Drosophila melanogaster: one gene and its partners. The protein of the gene in region 1 purifies or fractionates together with the protein of each later gene. This does not show direct contact. Each region holds a gene or a part of one and is shown in the gene's direction. Other genes may lie near its edges.

What was found. Proteins that work in one complex are often made in the same cells at the same time.
Region 2: the proteins of az2 (region 1) and CG1513 purify together in Drosophila melanogaster (affinity purification with mass spectrometry, with the first as the bait; one large-scale study listed by BioGRID). This does not show direct contact.
Region 3: the proteins of az2 (region 1) and Sk2 purify together in Drosophila melanogaster (affinity purification with mass spectrometry, with the first as the bait; one large-scale study listed by BioGRID). This does not show direct contact.

What each region holds. Positions count from the first base shown.
Region 1 is NT_033778.4:7,508,513-7,516,495, reverse strand, and holds az2 (az2), read left to right. Parts: upstream 1-3,746; 5' UTR 3,747-3,800; coding exon 3,801-4,226; intron 4,227-4,292; coding exon 4,293-4,655; intron 4,656-4,711; coding exon 4,712-5,704; 3' UTR 5,705-5,874; downstream 5,875-7,983. Other genes in the region: CG1603 (uncharacterized protein), read left to right, coding at 232-528, 590-853, 914-1,276, 1,333-2,169; mEFTu2 (mitochondrial translation elongation factor Tu 2), read left to right, coding at 6,385-6,789, 6,856-7,621, 7,676-7,875.
Region 2 is NT_033778.4:9,888,690-9,893,568, reverse strand, and holds the start of CG1513 (uncharacterized protein), read left to right. Parts: upstream 1-1,879; 5' UTR 1,880-2,166; coding exon 2,167-2,334; intron 2,335-2,427; exon of another isoform or gene 2,428-2,489; coding exon of another isoform or gene 2,490-2,824; intron 2,825-2,882; coding exon of another isoform or gene 2,883-3,129; intron 3,130-3,188; coding exon of another isoform or gene 3,189-3,282; intron 3,283-3,408; coding exon of another isoform or gene 3,409-3,517; intron 3,518-3,573; coding exon of another isoform or gene 3,574-3,589; exon of another isoform or gene 3,590-3,691; intron 3,692-3,833; coding exon 3,834-3,962; intron 3,963-4,083; exon of another isoform or gene 4,084-4,444; coding exon 4,445-4,681; exon of another isoform or gene 4,682-4,754; coding exon 4,755-4,832; exon of another isoform or gene 4,833-4,847; coding exon of another isoform or gene 4,848-4,879. Other genes in the region: tea (telomere ends associated), read right to left, coding at 1-613, 667-981, 1,036-1,460; CG30008 (uncharacterized protein), read right to left, coding at 2,490-2,824, 2,883-3,129, 3,189-3,282, 3,409-3,517, 3,574-3,589; CG12923 (uncharacterized protein), read right to left, coding at 4,848-4,879.
Region 3 is NT_037436.4:3,045,407-3,050,659, forward strand, and holds Sk2 (sphingosine kinase 2), read left to right. Parts: upstream 1-1,680; 5' UTR 1,681-1,783; coding exon 1,784-2,760; intron 2,761-3,239; coding exon 3,240-4,248; 3' UTR 4,249-4,753; downstream 4,754-5,253. Other genes in the region: scramb2 (scramblase 2), read right to left, coding at 317-810, 1,231-1,345; CG32485 (uncharacterized protein), read left to right, coding at 5,133-5,253.

The sequences.
Region 1 (7,983 bases):
GCACCACCAACAGTTGTTAAAACGTTTTCTTTTAAGCCTTCATAAAATTGTGTTTAAATATTATTTTAAAAATAGATTTTTATCGAATAGTCTATCGATACATAATTATTTCAGTCGTTGTCCAACACAGTCCCAAACGCATAAAAAAATTGTTACCTTAAATAAACGAATATATTTTCAGAAAAGGAACATTTTTCAAGCTGAAGTCAGATCAGAGCGCACAACGTAAGCATGGAGCTGTGCGGCAATGTGATGACCAACTCCAAGTACGAGATGTTCCGGCTGAAATGCCTCTACTGCAGCATAGAGAGCGAGCTGAAGGATTGGGAGCTGTTCATCGTCCATGTGAAATCGGCGCACTACTGCGAAGACGAGGACGTTAGGATTAATGAAATCAAAGAGGATACCGAGGAGCTATACAGCGTCGTTGACGCGGCGGACCCAGCCATCGCCTATGGGCCGGATGAGTTCTTCGAGGTGATCGAAAACAGCAATGGGGTCGATCAATGGATGGAAGCTGATAGCAAGGTAAGACTCTTTCACTCGCTTACCAAGGGTGGTCAAATAAGTGAGCTCTCGTTGACCGCAGGATATCCAGTACGAGGAAGACGCCACCGCTTGGTCTGCAGCTACAAACAATTCCTGGGAGTTCGGTCCAGGCGGCAGCTCTTTGGAACTTCCAGCCGGAAAGGAAGTCACACAAATGGACGAGTCTTCCCAAAATCACATACCCCTAAACACAGACGATGATGATGTTGATTGTAGTGACTTCTTTATGTCTGAGGATGACTTGGCACCTCCTAGAAAACCTGGACGTCCGCCCAGGCGAACAAGACCAGGACAGGTTTTCAAGGTTAGTACGTAGTATATTTCACTTAAGCTGAAATTCATTCCACTTAACGGCGTCATTCAGTTCAAAGTTTCGTTTATTCGGAGCAATCCCCGTGTGCTGCATTTGATCCAAGCGTACAAAGAGCATCCCTGCCTGTGGAACCCTTCCGATGAACACTACCAGGACGAGCCTGCACGAAGCATGGCCTACGAGGCGATAATGGAACGCATGGACCGCAAGGCCAATGTTCTCTTCACCGTGGAAGAACTGAAGAAAACGCTCGAGCAACTGCACGTGCAGTACACGCTGGCTTTGGAGACAAAACAAAGGGGAAAGCTTGTTGGACTTGCAGCGCGTTACTTTGCCAAGTGCGAGTTCCTCAGTGTGGCGCCTGTTGTAACGCCAAGGGAGAACGAGGAGGACAACGACTTGACTGCAATTAAGGTAATAACTAGCCCACTATAATGTAGCTCTTTTCTGACCAAAAATCCTTTTTTCAGCTTAATTTTAAGGAGGAAAACCTGATAACCACCTCATTCATAGAGACCTATGCCAACTATCCCGTGCTGTATAATCAAGCGTTGCCAGACTTTGGCTCAATAGAGATACGTGCAGATGCCTTCAAAAGAATGGCAAAGGAATTCCAGCCAGTGGTGAAGGCCAACGAAACGGACGTTTACATTGCGGTCAACAAGCTGCGCCGTTGGCTTTACGATGCCATTCGTCGCCTCAAATCCAAGGAACTAATTCAGAAGTGCAGCAAGCAAGAGGTTCAGTATCTGCAAATGTGCAGCTTCTTGCCCGCCAAGGGTTCCGAAAGTCAGGTGCTGTACTGTGACTACTGCGATAAACGTTTCCACGGCGACTACAACCTACGGGTGCACATCGTCAAGGCGCACGAGGTGGGCGACCTACCGTACCTCTGCTCGTTCTGCCCGAGGCGCTTCGACCGCCACGTAGACATGGACCGTCACAAGCTGCGTTCCCACTTCGAACGCAAGTTGAAGTGCCAGTACTGCGAAAAATCGTTCGCCGTGGATACCGACCTAAAGGTGCACACACTAATCCACACGGGCGAGCGGCCTCACGTCTGTGACATCTGCGGCAAGACATTCCGGCTCAAGCTACTCCTGGACCACCACGTCAACGGAGTTCACCTGAACATTAGACCCTACAGCTGCAATATGTGCACCAAAACCTTCCGCAAGAAGTTCGAGCTGGCCAACCATATCAAAGGACATCTGAATATCCGTGATAAGAAGTGCGAGTACTGTGATGCTACGTTCTATGACCATTCTTCGCTTTCCAGACATCGCCGCAGCCACAGATCGGAATGAACTCTCGCCTTGAGGGACATTTTTAGAAACTGCTTTATTTTTTGATAACGAGAATCAGTAAGCTTCATTTGATGTAAATCAAGAATAAACTTACGTTAGAGTAGTGATAATAACAAGCGTGTTGTTAAGCACTTACGGCTTTTGTGTATTTGATAAGAACATGTGTATGATAATCATATGCACAAGCTTTTCCTTTTTCATACTTTCCTTTTCAAAATTTGGTTTAAGGAATGTATTATTCATAAAAAAAAGAAGAAGCCGGAAAAATAAGTTCGTTTTAAGATAAATTTGTATAACCGTTACTTGTAGAGGAGATATTAGAATAACATATGATTTTTTGGTTCTGGCTCTAGATCTAGAGCTGGCTTGAGGCTCTCCCGAGTTTTTGTTCAAAAGTCAGAGAGCGGAGAGCTCTAGAGCTAGCAGCTCTATTATTATTATTTTTGATCAAATGACGTGTACAAAATTTTATATATATTCATTTTTAACAATGTATTTATATTTCTTTTATGAAATATATTTTTTTAAATGTATTTTCCTTTTTGCCAAATTTATATTTTTAATTACAATAGTTATAATAACGATTTAAGACTTTATTTAGTTTATTAGCTTAAATAATGATGAAAATAATTTTTATACGGTACAAGATACTGCTCATAGACCCTTGTTGAAGTATGTCGTCAGTGCAATTTTAAATATTTTTAATTATAAGCAAAAATAAATAAGCGGTATTTAATTAATAACAACTCTTCTTAAAAGAATAGTCAAGGCATTAAATTTTAAATAACTCTGTAGTAGATCGTATTGCAACAAGCTTTGACCAAAACTTTAAATATGTATGTATGTACCTTCGTTTCTGAGATCAAAATTGATTTCGAGACGAAAGTTTTCTAGCACAAGTATGCTCATATACACTTTCTCGTTTGTTGTTTTAACACACACAAGGAAGTACATTCTATTTTAAGAAATTTACGCTCTCCATTTTACGCGTGCGGAGTGAGATCAATTTTGGCCGTCACCAAAAAAGTAACTGCATAGTTGAAAACCAATGTAATGGCCGTTACGCACCTTAATATTCTAGTGTCTTTAAAAAAAGTGTATACTACAATATATTCGATGAAAGGTGTGTAACATGCAGAAGGAAACGTTTCCGACAATATTAAGTATATATATTCTCGATAAGGACCAATAGCCGAGTCGGTCTGTCCCTGTCCGTCTGTCCGTATGAACTACTTGTATTTCCACTGGCTAAGTAAGGAGTATTTGATTGTCGGGGAATTCGACTCTTGTTCCGAATGGGAATAAGTACCAGAATCAGTCAACTAAAAGTAGTGTTTTTATTCCAGCTTAAAATGAAATAGTTTAAAATATATTTAAAAATTTATAATTGATTTAAAAGTTGATTTAACACAACTAATACTCATGTTATAGCAAGATTTAAATTTAAGCTGTATAGTATATATAATTATTTGTCTACATATAAAATATTTTCTAAAATTGAGATGATTTCGTTTCAATGGAATTTCCGCGGGTATCTTCCCAACACTGACCATCCGGTGCTTATCGATACCGATAAATGGCGTTGTTGTTGTGCTATTTGGCATTGTATCTTATTTGTTTGTAAGCAAATCATGGTGGTTTGCGGGAACATTTTGGCCAGGAACAACTTCGAGCACTTTGTTCTGGCGTGTGCTCACCAAAATGACTGCTACGTGGAGATGGAGTTCAAGCGGTGGCGAGAGTTCATCGTGCACGTCAAGGAGCACCTGGAAGCAAATCCAAGCATGCAGCAAGAGCTCACTACTTCCGAAGTCATTTCGTCAGCCAAATGCGAGGAGGAGGTCTCGCCAGCCAAGGTGTTCATAGTGGAGGAGCCTCCGGAAAATTGCCTGGCTGAAGACATGTTCGTTGACGTGCCACCTTCATCAGAGAACGACGAGAGCACCAGCCCGGTGGAGGAGGAGGAGGAAGAAGACGACGAGGTGGACTCCTCCTCGATGACAGTTGACTGCGAATTGGGCACCAGAAACTCCACACACTTTGCTCCTTTAACCAAAGTAAGCAACTGACTACACCAGCAACAAAAACCAACAAATTAAAGCAGACGTTTTGCATCCCGGCAGTTCAATCCTACGTTTTACCGACGCAGTCCTCGGATCACACAGTTCATTGAACTGTATAAGCAGCAGACATGCCTCTGGGATCCAGCGGATGAGTCGTACAGGGACAAGGAGAAACGCGCAAATGCCTATGAGGAGTTGCTGGAGCAATTAAAGGCGACCGTCAATCTTCACCTAACGGCCTATAAGCTGAAGAAGTGCATCACCAGCCTACACGCGCAGTATGCGTCGATCTCGCGGCAGAAGAAAACTCAGAAACTAACCAAGGTTCCACTGTACTACCATGGAAAGTACAGCTTTCTGGCAGAGCGCGGTAGTCTGGAGGATGCGGACAGCGATGATGTCGACGGCGATGGCAAAATAAAGGTGAGTCCGAGTGACAAACAGCTTTCTAAGCCACTCTAATGCGTTCCCCACGACAGCTGGTGTTCACAGAGGAGAATCAACTGACCACACAGTTCATTGATTTGTACTCCAAGTTTCCCCAACTGTACGATCCCGCGCACAAGCACTTCTGCAATCTAAACGTACGAAAGTCATCGCTCATAGAGATCACTGACCTGCTGACTTCGGAGTTTTCGTTGGGCCTGGTCACCCACTACGATGTCTACGACAGTATTCAGAGCATGCGCCAATGGTATTCGCGACGGATCAAAACCCTCACAGACGTCCAATGTGTGGGTCTCTCGCTGGCCGAGAAGCAGTACATCGAGCGCTGCAATAGCTTTATGCCCACTAAATCATTCCGACAGAAGCTTAAATGTGAAGTCTGCGAGCACTCCTTTAGCACAGATCACGCCCTGCAAGCACATCAGTTCCGGGATCATAAGATGGGCGATGGAGGCTGGTTTCGCTGCACGCTTTGCGAGCTGAACTTCGACCGAAAGTGTCACCTGCAGCAGCACAGCCAGCGTGTGCACATGGACAAGAGCTTTGTCTGCGAGATCTGCAGCAGGAGCTTTGCCTTTGGAAATCAACTGGCTATCCACAAACGCACCCATGACGAGAAGCACGTCGCCAAGCCATTTGTCTGCGAGTTCTGCGGCAAGTGTTTTAAGCAAAAAATCCAAATGACAACGCACGTAACTGCGGTTCACACCAAGATCCGAGCCTTCAAGTGCGACATGTGCCCCAAGGACTTCCTGACCAAGCGCGACCTCAAGGACCACGTAAAGGCGCACCTGAACATCCGCGACAAGGTCTGCGAGGTCTGTCAGAAGGCCTTCACCAATGCCAACGCCTTAGTCAAGCATCGCCACATCCACAAGGAGAAGACCCTGCAATGTTCGCTCTGCACGACGCGCTTCTCGGAGCGAGTTAGTCTTGGCGTCCACATGCGACGCACCCACAAGATCCTCAAGAGCTCTCTGTCGTCAAGCGACGCACTCTTTACAAAGACATTCCCTCAGCCTTGAGACATTTCCAAACCATGACAAGTATTTACATTTGTTAATAACCAGAAAATATGGCTATAGTGCCAAAAAACATGAATTTTTTAATGTTCTTAATGTATTATTACTCCTAAATATTTTTTAGTATTGAAACAAGAGATTTTACAATATATTTGTCCAAGCTTGCAAAAATGAAAACAAAAATGTTTAAAATGATTTCTATTATTCTATTCTATTATTCGACATATTTGAATTGTTCGATTTTTAGATAATCCATCTGAATTTTCTTAATAAAGACTACACTGAGCACTATGCATTTGTATGCCTTTGTGATATAGTAACTTGAAAACACAAAAAAGCACTGAATTTTGAAATTGAAGGTGTAATAATACTTATTTTTATATCTAATTTTGGGTTCTATTGGCGTAGCAATTGAGCATATCAGGAGTACATTTTGCCTGCTAGCCAGCAGAGGTTCCTTTGTCTGCCGTTAGAGAAATTTGTCCTACTATGTCAAATGTTAGAATTTATAGCATTTTTTTATATTTATTTCATTAACTTCGGGTAATCAAAATTTTCGAAGTTATCAGCTCACCTATTCTTGCGCTGTGCAGCACTGGCCAACAGCTGTTCGTGTTTTGGTTTTCCGCGACGTGCTCGGTGTTACGTGCTCTGCACCAAGATTACAGACCTGGAGAGGAGAAATGAGCGGACTCCTTCCGAAGTTGTGGCGCCAATGTGAAGCGGGGCTAGTGCGCCGTATCAGCCAGGCACTGATTGGACCCGGCGCCAGTCAGAGCCGGTGGACAGGGACCCGTCTCCTGGCCACCAGTGCGGATAAAAATCCGGCCCCGGGGCTGCGGGAGCTGCCCCACTGCAATGTGGGCACCATTGGTCACGTTGACCATGGTAAAACGACCCTGACCGCCGCCATTACCAGAATCCAGTCACAGAAGGGTCTGGCGGAGTACCTGTCCTACGACCAGATTGATCGGGCGCCCGAGGAGAAGGCGCGTGGCATAACTATAAATGCTTGCCATATTGGGTATTCCACTACAGAACGCACCTACGCTCACACGGATTGCCCGGGTCATGCGGACTACATAAAGGTAGCTCAGCCAAAAGAACCAACCAATGTTCCACCAATTTAACGAAACTTTCTATCTGATCTACAGAACATGATCTCGGGCGCCTCCCAAATGGATGGCGCCATTCTAGTGGTGGCTGCCACCGATGGTCAAATGCCCCAGACTCGCGAGCACCTTCTTCTGGCAAAACAAGTGGGCATCCAGCGCATCATAGTGTTTATAAACAAGGCCGATTTGGTGGACCAGGAGGTGCTGGAACTGGTCGAGATCGAGATGCGTGAGATGCTAAGTGATTTCGGCTTTGATGGCGTGAATAGCCCGGTAATTTGTGGCTCAGCGCTGCTGGCCCTTCGCGAAGATAAATCGGAGTTCGGGGTTCCGTCAATTGAAAAGCTACTTGAGCAATGCGACTCTTACATACCAACGCCGCAGCGCGATATCTCGTCCCCATTTATCCTGCCAATAGACAATGCTTTTACGGTACCCGGAAGGGGAACCGTGGTCGTGGGAACCATCAAAAGGGGCACCATTCCCCGGAACGCGGATGCAGACCTACTGGGCTTCAATCAGAACCTGAAGACAAGCATCAGCGACATCCAGATATTCCGGAAGAGCGTGCCTCAGGCACAGGCTGGCGAGAACGTCGGCGCACTGCTGCGAGGTATTAAGATATCCGCCGTGGAGCGGGGAATGCTACTGTGCGCAACCGGCTCCGAGGATATATCCAACCACTTTGAAGGCTCCATGTATCTGCTATCGCGGGCCGAGGGTGGTCGTGTCAAGCCCATGCTCTCCAAGTATATACAGCAGCTCTTCAGCCAGACGTGGAATGTTCCAGCTAGAATTGACATAGGTAAGTTAAAAACTTCAATGCTGTCCACAAAGCATTGAGCAAATCCCATTGCAGTTCCAAGTGAGGCTATGCTTATGCCGGGTGAGCATGGCCAGGTGCGCGTCACGCTGCTGCGGAAAATGGTCATGACTCCGGGCCAAGCCTTCACAATTCGCGAGAACGGAGCGACGGTGGCTACCGGTATGGTGACGCAGCGCCTGCCGTCCCTTGACCTGCCCAAGAACAAGTTATCAAAAGTCTTCGTGGATTGTTAACGACTCGAGATTGTATTTGTAAAAATTCATAAATTGCTGTTCATTACACACGAGTACTTTCTTTCTAATATATAATATTTGTATGTGTTTAGGTAATCTGCTTAGAAT
Region 2 (4,879 bases), 2.4 Mb from region 1:
GGCTTTCGAACTGTGCAGATGGCGTTCTGGCGAAGCTAATGCCGGCATACATCTGCTTAGTTTGTTGGCATCGTTCCTGAGATTAGCTTGGTTTTCGAAAGTTTCTAAAGTATTATGTGAACTCGATAGCCCTTCAGTCGTGCTAATAGCTCCCGCAGCACAATTCTCTGGCGAAAGAGTAGCTAACTGGGACAGACCTTCACTCGGTTCGTGGGCAACCTCCATGCTGGGACTGGTTTGGATTTGTGAAGAGCCACTGGTATTCTGCGACCCTAATGACCCTTTGCTCTCAGTAATATATGAAGTGTTGGGCCTGCGCGAATCAAGTCCTGGCGAGGGATTAGCTAACTGAGGGAGGCTTTTCCTAAGCTTTTCGGCAATATCTTTGCCGAGAATGGACAGCATGCAGGCCTTGAAAGTCGACGTGCAAGGTTTTAATTTGTATGCGTATTTATATCGGATCCTCGGAGTAATGTAAAACGCCAGGTAATAGTCAAGGGCACATTCCTGGACATCCTTGCTCGCATAATTAGCATCCAGTTGCCTCATTTGCTCCACAATGTCCGATAAGTTTGCCATATTTTTCTTAAATACCTCGAAGCTGACGATGGAACTGTGAAATATTTATAGTAAACAACGAGTATTTGGAAAGTGTCCCAAACTTACTTTTTCGTAAGGGATTTCATTGCAGTAAGCTCCGCCACAGTCTTGACCGCTTTTTTGTCCAGTGGTTTCCCAGATTCAAGCAACTTTTCCAAAGGGATTTCTGTAGTTGCATTGAAGATATTCGTAGGGGATCGCTTTTCTGGATACATGTAAAAGCGGTTGTAGAACCTTTGTAGTGTAAGAAGACGACGCTCATCGTCGGACAAGAGGACCAGGCAGTGTTCTATGCTCCTGACAATTTTTTTGAACAGTAACATCTTATTGATGCACTGTAGGAATACATCAAAGGATACCGGAAAGATGAAGGCGCCACATCTGAAATGAGTCAAAATTGGTTAATCTGCTCTGCTCGAAAATAATATTACCCACCTCTCCACATTAACAATTACGTCTGGAGATTCCGATCCTGATGGTTTACATTCAACTGCAACGCCTTCAACTGCATCATGGGACTTCGCGGTTTCAGCGAGCGTCGTCAACTGGCTGCCTTCAACTAAGACTTCGGGTTGCTCTACTTGAGATGGTCCTGCAGCTGCTACGTTTGCAACATCGTTTTGTGAAATTCCTCCTGGCTCCGGTACTTTAAGCAAGTTGTCGCGTGTCCGCCTGGGACACGGCGCCACCTTGACAGGGAACCTTGCCCGTATGCTGGGATTCCGGTAGAACTCTTTGTAGTACCATCTGCTCCACTCGACCAACGTTCTATTGTCTCCATTGGCAGTTTTCAACTCACTTGCAATTTCAGACAAATTAACGATTAACTTTTGAAATGCCGCAAAGGACACTGGATACATGTTGCTCCTGAAATCAAACAATATTTAATGTTAAGATGTAAAAGATTCACAGTAACCTTACGACTTGTTCTATGCAAGTAACGTTATTTGTTGTTTATCATAAACATCACATTTCAATACCGCGAAATAAACTAGGCTGAATATCACAGTGTGACTGTGCTGCAAAATGACAATATTTATCGATAGCGAACGACTAAATATTTTCACTACGAGAACTCGAACTTACTTAAAATTTTACAAGCCAGTTAATACTTTTGTGCTTTATTGTTTATTGTTTATTTATTTATTGTGCTGATTTAAACAGGGTTATAATTTCATAGCTAGCTAATTTTACATGTTATGATTTTCCAAATGACTCCAAATTTGTAAGGTGTGCTAGGTATAGTAGGTGGTATATTCCAGCGGTCGCCGCACGGTCACACTCGAGCTGCGATTCGGAGGGCTAGAAAATCATCGATGTTTACGTACATCGATAGTTGGCAGGGCTTTGCTTTGTTTTGCAAATTCCAAGCGGAGTTGAGGCTGTGACAGATTGCGGGTGCGAGTTGTGAAGCAACATTGCGTCATCATCAGCTCCTGGACAGAAAAGAGCTCAGGGAACGAGGCAGGTCCGCGCCCGGGGACAAGGAAAGCCTTTAGCCACGAGGACGCAGAGGGATCAAAGGCGGAGGAGGAGGCGGTGGCCGTGTCACGGGAGCTGGATCAAATGGCCAGCACCACTGGAAGTGCCCCCAGCCTGGGACCCCCCCAGAGCGGGAGTGGTGGCTCTGGCACATTGGAGGGCACGCTAAGCAAGTGGACGAATGTGATGAAGGGCTGGCAGTACCGCTTCTTCGTTCTGGACGAGAATGCTGGACTGCTGTCCTATTACACGGTGAGTGGCTGCAGTGCACCTCCTGACTGAAACCCATATCGCACCCAGAACGAACTCCTCATGGCCCGCAGCCTTATCTTATCTGCTATAGATACATTTGGATACACATACACACTTGTTGGTACCCCTTTATTGCGTGATTTGTTGACAGGAGATTACTTTTTTGAGTCTGACTGAGGGGTCTGACTCTTGCGCCGCTGCGAGGCTTGATAGGCACTATTATAGAAGTCGTAAAAGCCGTAGAACATGCCAAGAATGACGGTGGTGAAGTAGAGAAGCACTAAGGGCGGCATGCCGCACAATACCAGCTGGAAAGCAACCTGCGTGAGGATAAGAACGAACTGCGTCATCTGAATCACTGTGATGCACTTCTTCACTGGAGTTAGGGCCTGCACCAAGGTCTTATCCGCCACTGCCGCCACAAAGTAGTACGAGTACATGATAACGTGAACGATAGAATTCAAGAACACGCAGAAGTAAGCAGCAGAACCTGTACAATTGAACGCATTTATGAAAATAGTCGGTCACCCAGCAGCCGGCTAGCTTACCATTTTCGTTGAAGTTGATCAGTGCGTAGACCAGCGTTACCGTGGAGAAGTGATGAAAGATGTGCAGCTTGGACACCTGGTTTTGTTTCTTGCGAAGCACAAAGATCACGGTTTCAATCAGCTCAGAGATCTTCAGCCAGAAGAGAAAGTAGGCCAAGTTGTAGTACCGCCTCACGAGCTCTGGGCTGCTCCCGATGTCGCGGCACTTCCAAAAGATGTATATGGTGTTGTCCGTAATGTACAGGACCTGCGAGAGAAAAGCAATTAGCCGATGCTGCTGCTGCTGTACAATTTATAAATATCCACCTCTTTGATAGCATATATGCAGGAAACCACCTGGATGAAATTATGTAGCAAGATAAGTCGCTTGAGCTCGTAAGGTTTGCGCCATTCCATGAAACTATAAGCGAGGTATTAAAGGTCTTCTTTCTTATATAAGTAAGCCAGCGAACCCGCTGAATTGCTAATGTCAAGTCCACTGACCCACATGCAAACAAGCGACGCTGACATTAGCATGTGAACTTACTGCGGACCCGCTTTGGTGACGAAGTACAGATAGAGGACCAGCACTGTGATCATGTACCAGGGATCCTTATAAATCGTAGGAACGTTCACCACCGGCTGCAAATTTATACCTACAATTTTATTGAAACCATCAGACAGTTTTTTGACAAATCCAAGAGGAGCTCACTTGCTGACGCCTCCATTTCGCTTCTTTGTGTTGAGCTTCCGCTGGCCTGTATCCTTTAGGTGGCGTGGGACTGGTGGACTGCAGCTCTACCGCCTTGACCGCTGGCGAACATTTAAGCGTGAACAGCACGCCGAACACTGTTTTTATATTCCCCAAGCATTGATTAGAATACATTAATTTATAGCAGGCGTAATAGCCCTTTGACAGTATGAGCTGCGATTTAATGAACTTTCCTAATTCCGACTGCATTTCTGTTACAGTCGAAGGATAAGATGATAAAGGGCGTGAGGCGCGGTTGTGTTCGTTTAAAGGATGCGCTAATCGGAATCGACGACCAGGAGGACAACACATTCACAATCACTGTGGACCATAAGACCTTCCACTTTCAGGTAAGTGTCTCCTTAGTAAATGGAAATAAAGATTGTCTAAGGAAAGCTTGATCAATGTTTTGCAGTTTCACTAATAGTTCATAATTCACCGTAATAGTTTAAGTACGACGTTGTTTGTTTTATGAACTGAAGAACCAACTCATTTTAAATTCCACACTTGCATTGATTTTTTATGACGTCTAGTGGTATACGTAAGCAAAAACTATGTAGATCAAGAGGGCAGCACGTTTCTTTTTGCAATTCGCGTTTTCGTCCCAAAAGATATAAAGCAAGCATGATGGCCTATCCGCTTTGCTTGCCAAGAGTTTTCGTCCTCTTACCGGAAAAGGGTATCCGGGCATCGACCCAGAAACCACTGTCTGGTCCTCACGTTCCACCTTTTGTTTGACTTTGTTGCCTTGATGTAACGATAAAACTTTTTCCAATACCCATACACAAGCAAAGGAGCCCACTAAACTTGCCAACTTTCCAAACGCTTGCAGGCGCGACACAACGAGGAGCGGGAGCAGTGGGTGCGCCGCCTGGAGGACACCATTCGACGCCACGCGAACCGGTCGCGTCTGTGGGACAGCCAAAGCGCTTTCTACATCGCCGGTGGCTACACGAAGGAAGGGGGCGGGAGCGGAACAGGCGGCAGAAGACCCAACCACCTGGAGTTGGTGGCGCGCCGTGTTTCCGAGGCAGATGCCTACCTCCAGCTGATGATTGAGCAAACGAACGTGAGTATTGTGCCACGTAATGCAGGCATTATGCAATTTATTGTCATTTTTTCTTGTTCTCTGTCCTGCCCAGTTACTGGACAAACGCATCGCGGAGCTGACCGATCCGGCGGAGCAGTCTAAGTGCAAGGCACTCCAGGACAACGCAAATGTAAGTAAGCAGAGGTTACACGTTTCCCTCGGACTCAGTAACTACAA
Region 3 (5,253 bases), on another chromosome or scaffold:
ATACAATTGAAAATTTAAAACTAGTGTGGGTGCTATTAATTTGAACGCTTCTGTCTGTTCATAATTATTTAGAATATATGTATATAGGCACTTATAAATGTTTAATAATTAAAAAAGCAATTAAGTGGACGCCTGATACTGTTCATTTTGGAATTTTATAAAGCTTCGTCTTTGACTGATGAAGACCATACATATGTACTCCTCCGAAGAATTTAAAGCTAATCCGCTGACCGCTGCTGTGTGTGTATACACTTGTTTGGGCATTGGGAATCGAGATCGAGAGCCAAGAATAACCACTTGTTGGCTGCGTACTGACCTTGAAGTTGGTATCGCTGAAGCACTTGCAGGGACAGACGGGTCCCTCGATCTGCAGGACGGTATCGCCGCATGTGTTCTTGATGTTGAACTTGGGCCGCATGAAGGTGCAGACCTGCTCAACGCTACCGATCACCTGGCCGGGTGGCGCCGACACCTCCACGGCGTTCATGCAGCTGGGAAAGCAGCAGAGGATGTCGCACTTGAAGGGCCGGTACAGGTGGAGCACCTCGTTCTGAAAATTGTCCAGTATCTTCATCTCGAAGGGGCGCGACCGGCCGAGCATGTTGCGGGTGCAGCAGTCGCTCTCCTCGTACGCGAAGTACACATTCTGGCCCAGTGAGTTCTTCACCTTGAAGCGGTTCTTCGTCTCGAAGCCGGTGAGCAGCTCCAGTTTCTCGATCTTCTGCGACACGAGCAACTGGTCCAGAGCGGTCAGGTATTCCAGTCCCTGCGGGCAGTTGGGCATGCCCACGGGTATCGACATCCAGTTTTCTGCAATGGGGCGTTGTTCCGGATTAGCTCCCTATGTATTTATATTTATCTATATGCATAAAGTGCTTTTCCGATATCTATGCATGGGTAAAGGAAATTAGCATAGCTACAATGGCGGTCAGGCGATTAGGGCCAGTGATAGCAGTTCTTAACATAAACTAATATTTTAAACAATATGTATTTACGTATTGACTTGGAATCACTTCACTTTTTGGTACATTATAAAATATCTTTTTTACATAGATAACTATGGGTGCTATTGCCATGCCCGCTGCTGTACTAAATGCCAAGAAAGAGACGACGGCATTTCCGCCTTTCGCACACGCCCACTAGCCCACACAGACGCGCGCAACCGACTAGGTCCATCCGAGTGATGGAATTCAACAGTGGACAAATCCATATATGTCCATCGCTACGCACCAGGTCCGTTGGCATTGTTGCCAACATTCGCCGCCTGCGGCTGCAGGACCACTGCGCCATTCTCGTCCTGCGGTGCATTCTGCGGGAGCACCTTGTACTCGCTCATCTGCATCATTGTTATTCCCAGCAATTAAATTCGTATCGGATTCTTTAACAGTTCACAAAACACTAAATGCAGGGTGACCGCGTTGCGAACGCCGAAAAATGCAACGCAAATGCACCGTACGAAATATTCTGTCATATATTTTGGTATTTATTCGAACACAGAAAAATATCAACAAAAAGCTTTCAGCACTCAATGCAGTGACAAGTTAAATTTGTTATGAGCTGACGTTTTTGTGGATTCATTTGTATTATTGCATTGTATTGCAATAGTTTCCTTAAGCTAGCCTCTTTAAGTTCTAAGAATTTTGAGTTTATTTGTGCCAGTTGGTATATTCGCGCCTGCCACCGACGGTAACACTGCGGCTATGATTGGATGATAAGCGATCCATAAAAGCCTGGACACAAAAGACCTGAAACATGCTGCTTGGCAGCCGAATCTCCAGTCGAAATGAGCGAATCTCTTGATAAGACCACCAGCCCGAGCTCGGCCAGTTCCAGGGCCACGCCCCCGGGAACGCAGGATGCGGATGAGGGCCACGACGTGAGCGATACCTTCTACACGAGCCAGCGCAAGAAGGGCAGCCACGTATTTCGGGTGCGCCTTGACGCCACAGGATTCACCCTGCAGCGGGAGTCGCCGGGCGGTAGCATTGTTAAGGAGCAACATGTCCGCATATCGGACATTGTGGGTGCCCGCTGCATGCGGCCCAAGAAGAGCCGGCGCCTGGCGATGTCGGGCGCCTGTGCGTGCAGCTCCGGTAATCCCAATTCGCCAGCCATCTCGGCGTCCGGCGATCACCATCGCCCTGCCACCACACCAAGCAAATGCAGCACCAATAGTCGGGATAATATTCCTTCGGATGGCGGCGATGTCAGCGCGTTTCTCTACGTTTTTGCCTATGTTCTGAAGAAGAGGAGCCTGCGGTCGGAGTTGCACCGGGAGCGAACGGTGCTCACTCTGCGCTTCCGGTCGTTCGACACCTTCGAGGACAACATGAGGGAGGCGGATCGTTGGTACAGATCCCTTCGCTGGCAGTTGCATCGCACGCTGGAGGAGATCTTTGTGGCGCCGACGGTGGATGAGCGACGCCGTCGAGTGCTTGTGCTGTTGAATCCCAAATCCGGTTCCGGTGACGCTCGTGAGGTCTTCAACATGCACGTGACGCCGGTGCTCAACGAGGCCGAGGTGCCCTACGACCTGTATGTAACCAAGCATTCCAACTTTGCCATCGAGTTCTTGAGCACCAGGTGCCTGGACGCCTGGTGCTGCGTGGTGGCTGTCGGCGGAGACGGTCTCTTCCACGAGATAGTCAATGGACTGCTGCAGCGCCAGGACTGGGCCCACGTCCTGCCTCATCTGGCACTGGGAATCATTCCTTGCGGCTCCGGAAATGGATTGGCCCGCTCCATTGCCCATTGTTACAAGTATGTTATCTTTGTTTCATGTTTCATTAGGAAAAACCCCCTTTTGACTTATGTGGATCTTCATATTTCGTGTAAAACAATCCCTCCAGCGTCTAGCCATGCAGTTTATCATTAGATTACATTCATAAGCAAAAGTAGTTTTCTTATCGTGTCAAATGGTTTTGTTGTTTTGCAAGTGGGGATATCCCCTTAAAGTTAAATTGACGTCAGACTAGAACAAACTTTCCACATCGTTAAGTAATTGCCCCCCAATTTCGTTCAACATTTAGTGGCATATCATCGAACTTTGAAATCTTTATGTTCTTTCTTTATGTTCATCTATAGCTCAACTTCCCGATAAAAGAGTATAAAAAGGGTAATAGAAAAGAATGTTTATAGACTTTAAAACCACATTCAGGTGTCTCATATCCGATCTATTGGTCGTAATCCGATTATCAGTCTTGTGTTGAAACCTATTCACTTGAAACCTTTCTCCCCAGCGAACCATACTTCAGCAAGCCAGTGCTAGGAGCTGCTCTGACCGTAATCAGTGGACGCAGTTCACCCATGGACGTGGTCCGGGTGCAGCTGCAGAGTCGCTCCCTCTACTCCTTCCTGTCCATCGGCTGGGGTCTGATCTCGGACGTGGACATCGAGAGCGAGCGCATTCGCATGTTGGGCTACCAGCGCTTCACCGTGTGGACCCTCTACCGTCTGGTGAATCTGCGCACCTACAACGGCCGAATCAGCTATCTTCTGACGGACCATGAGGTGTCCTCAACCCATAGCGCTACCGGTTATGCTGCCCAGCGGAGAATGCAGAGCAGCCGTAGCTGCAACACGCACATCGACATGCTAAATGGGCCGGCGCCCATCTATCATTCCAGTGCCGAGTACCTGCCACAGGAGTTTGCGGACGTGATCTCCCTGGAGACGTCCATCAATCAGTCGTTCCGCTCGAGGTGCGACAGCTGGTTGTCGGGGGGATCGCGGCGCAGCTTTTACTATTCCATATCGGAGAGCATCTACCACAGTCTGGCGGATGAGAGCGAGTTCGCCGGCCTGGCGGCCGCCTCGCTGGAAAACCGGCAGCAGAACTACGGTCCGGCAAGCGAGCTGCCGGATCTGAACGAACCGCTGTCCGAGGATCAGGGTTGGCTGGTGGAGGAGGGCGAGTTCGTCATGATGCACGCCGTTTACCAGACCCATCTGGGCATCGACTGTCATTTTGCGCCCAAGGCCCAGCTGAACGACGGCACCATCTACCTGATCCTCATACGCGCCGGCATCAGCCGCCCGCACCTGCTGAGCTTCCTCTACAACATGAGCTCCGGCACTCACCTGCCGGAGTCGCACGACGACCATGTGAAGGTGCTGCCAGTGCGAGCATTCCGCCTGGAGCCCTACGACAATCACGGCATCATCACGGTCGACGGCGAGCGCGTCGAGTTCGGGCCCCTCCAAGCTGAGGTCCTGCCGGGCATAGCCCGCGTCATGGTGCCCAAGTAGGAGGAGCTTACTGAAGACCATCAAGCAATAGAAATCTCAATTTTGGAATCTCTGCATTTGTAGCTAATACTTAGGGTCCCAGGTGGCCGATATGAGAGAGTTGTGCATTCTACATATTTCGTGTTTTTGTGGCCTGCTTCTGCCAACCAATCATGTATTGTTAACATTTTAAACACAATAACAGCTATTTCCGAAATATCTAACATGTTTGTTTATAAAACGTGTGCCATATGAAGTGCACGTGAATTTATTTTTATCTCGGCTGTTCAAAATAGCGATGAAAGTCTTATTTATTTTGTTCTTTTTTTTTTTAAACTGTGTAACGAAATGAGATATATATTCAAAATGTTTAAAGATGAATACAAATAAATCTTCATGAATTCAAAAATCTTAGAAAGTAACAGTGTAAGTAACAGAGCTAAATCATTTACAATTCCATATTTTAAAGTAGGAAGTTAAGAATATAACATCTTTGAGCTTGAAATAAAAAATAAAAATGTTAACTAATTTCAGCTCTGTTTCAATTTGTTTTCTTCTCTTTACTATATAGTTTAAAATATTTTTCAAAATTTATTATCAATTAAAGCTTTTATTAAAATGTAACGGTTCCAACCAATAACGGTAATTTTTCGGTATTTCGTGCTTGCATTTAGTATTGTTGTGGAACGCAAATGACAGCTTTTAGAGAGTTTCAGCCGGTCACACTGGTCGAAAAAAAAGAAAAAAACAAATCCGTTCCGTTTGTGAAAAAACATTTCCGAGTAAAAATAAACAGCGCTGCTTGCATTTCACATAGTGTCAGCACATTCCGATTCCAGTCCGCGACTCTCCAGCACGGAATCCCAGTCTGCATTCCGGTCAGGAAGCGATTCGTGCTCTACAATATGTCGTCCGAGGAGCTGGCGCCAATTAACGAGCAGGACTTCAAGGATCTCAAGGAGCGCATGAAATTGATTGTGGAGGCGGATCCAAAGCAGTATCACAATGACTTTTCGCTGCGTCGCT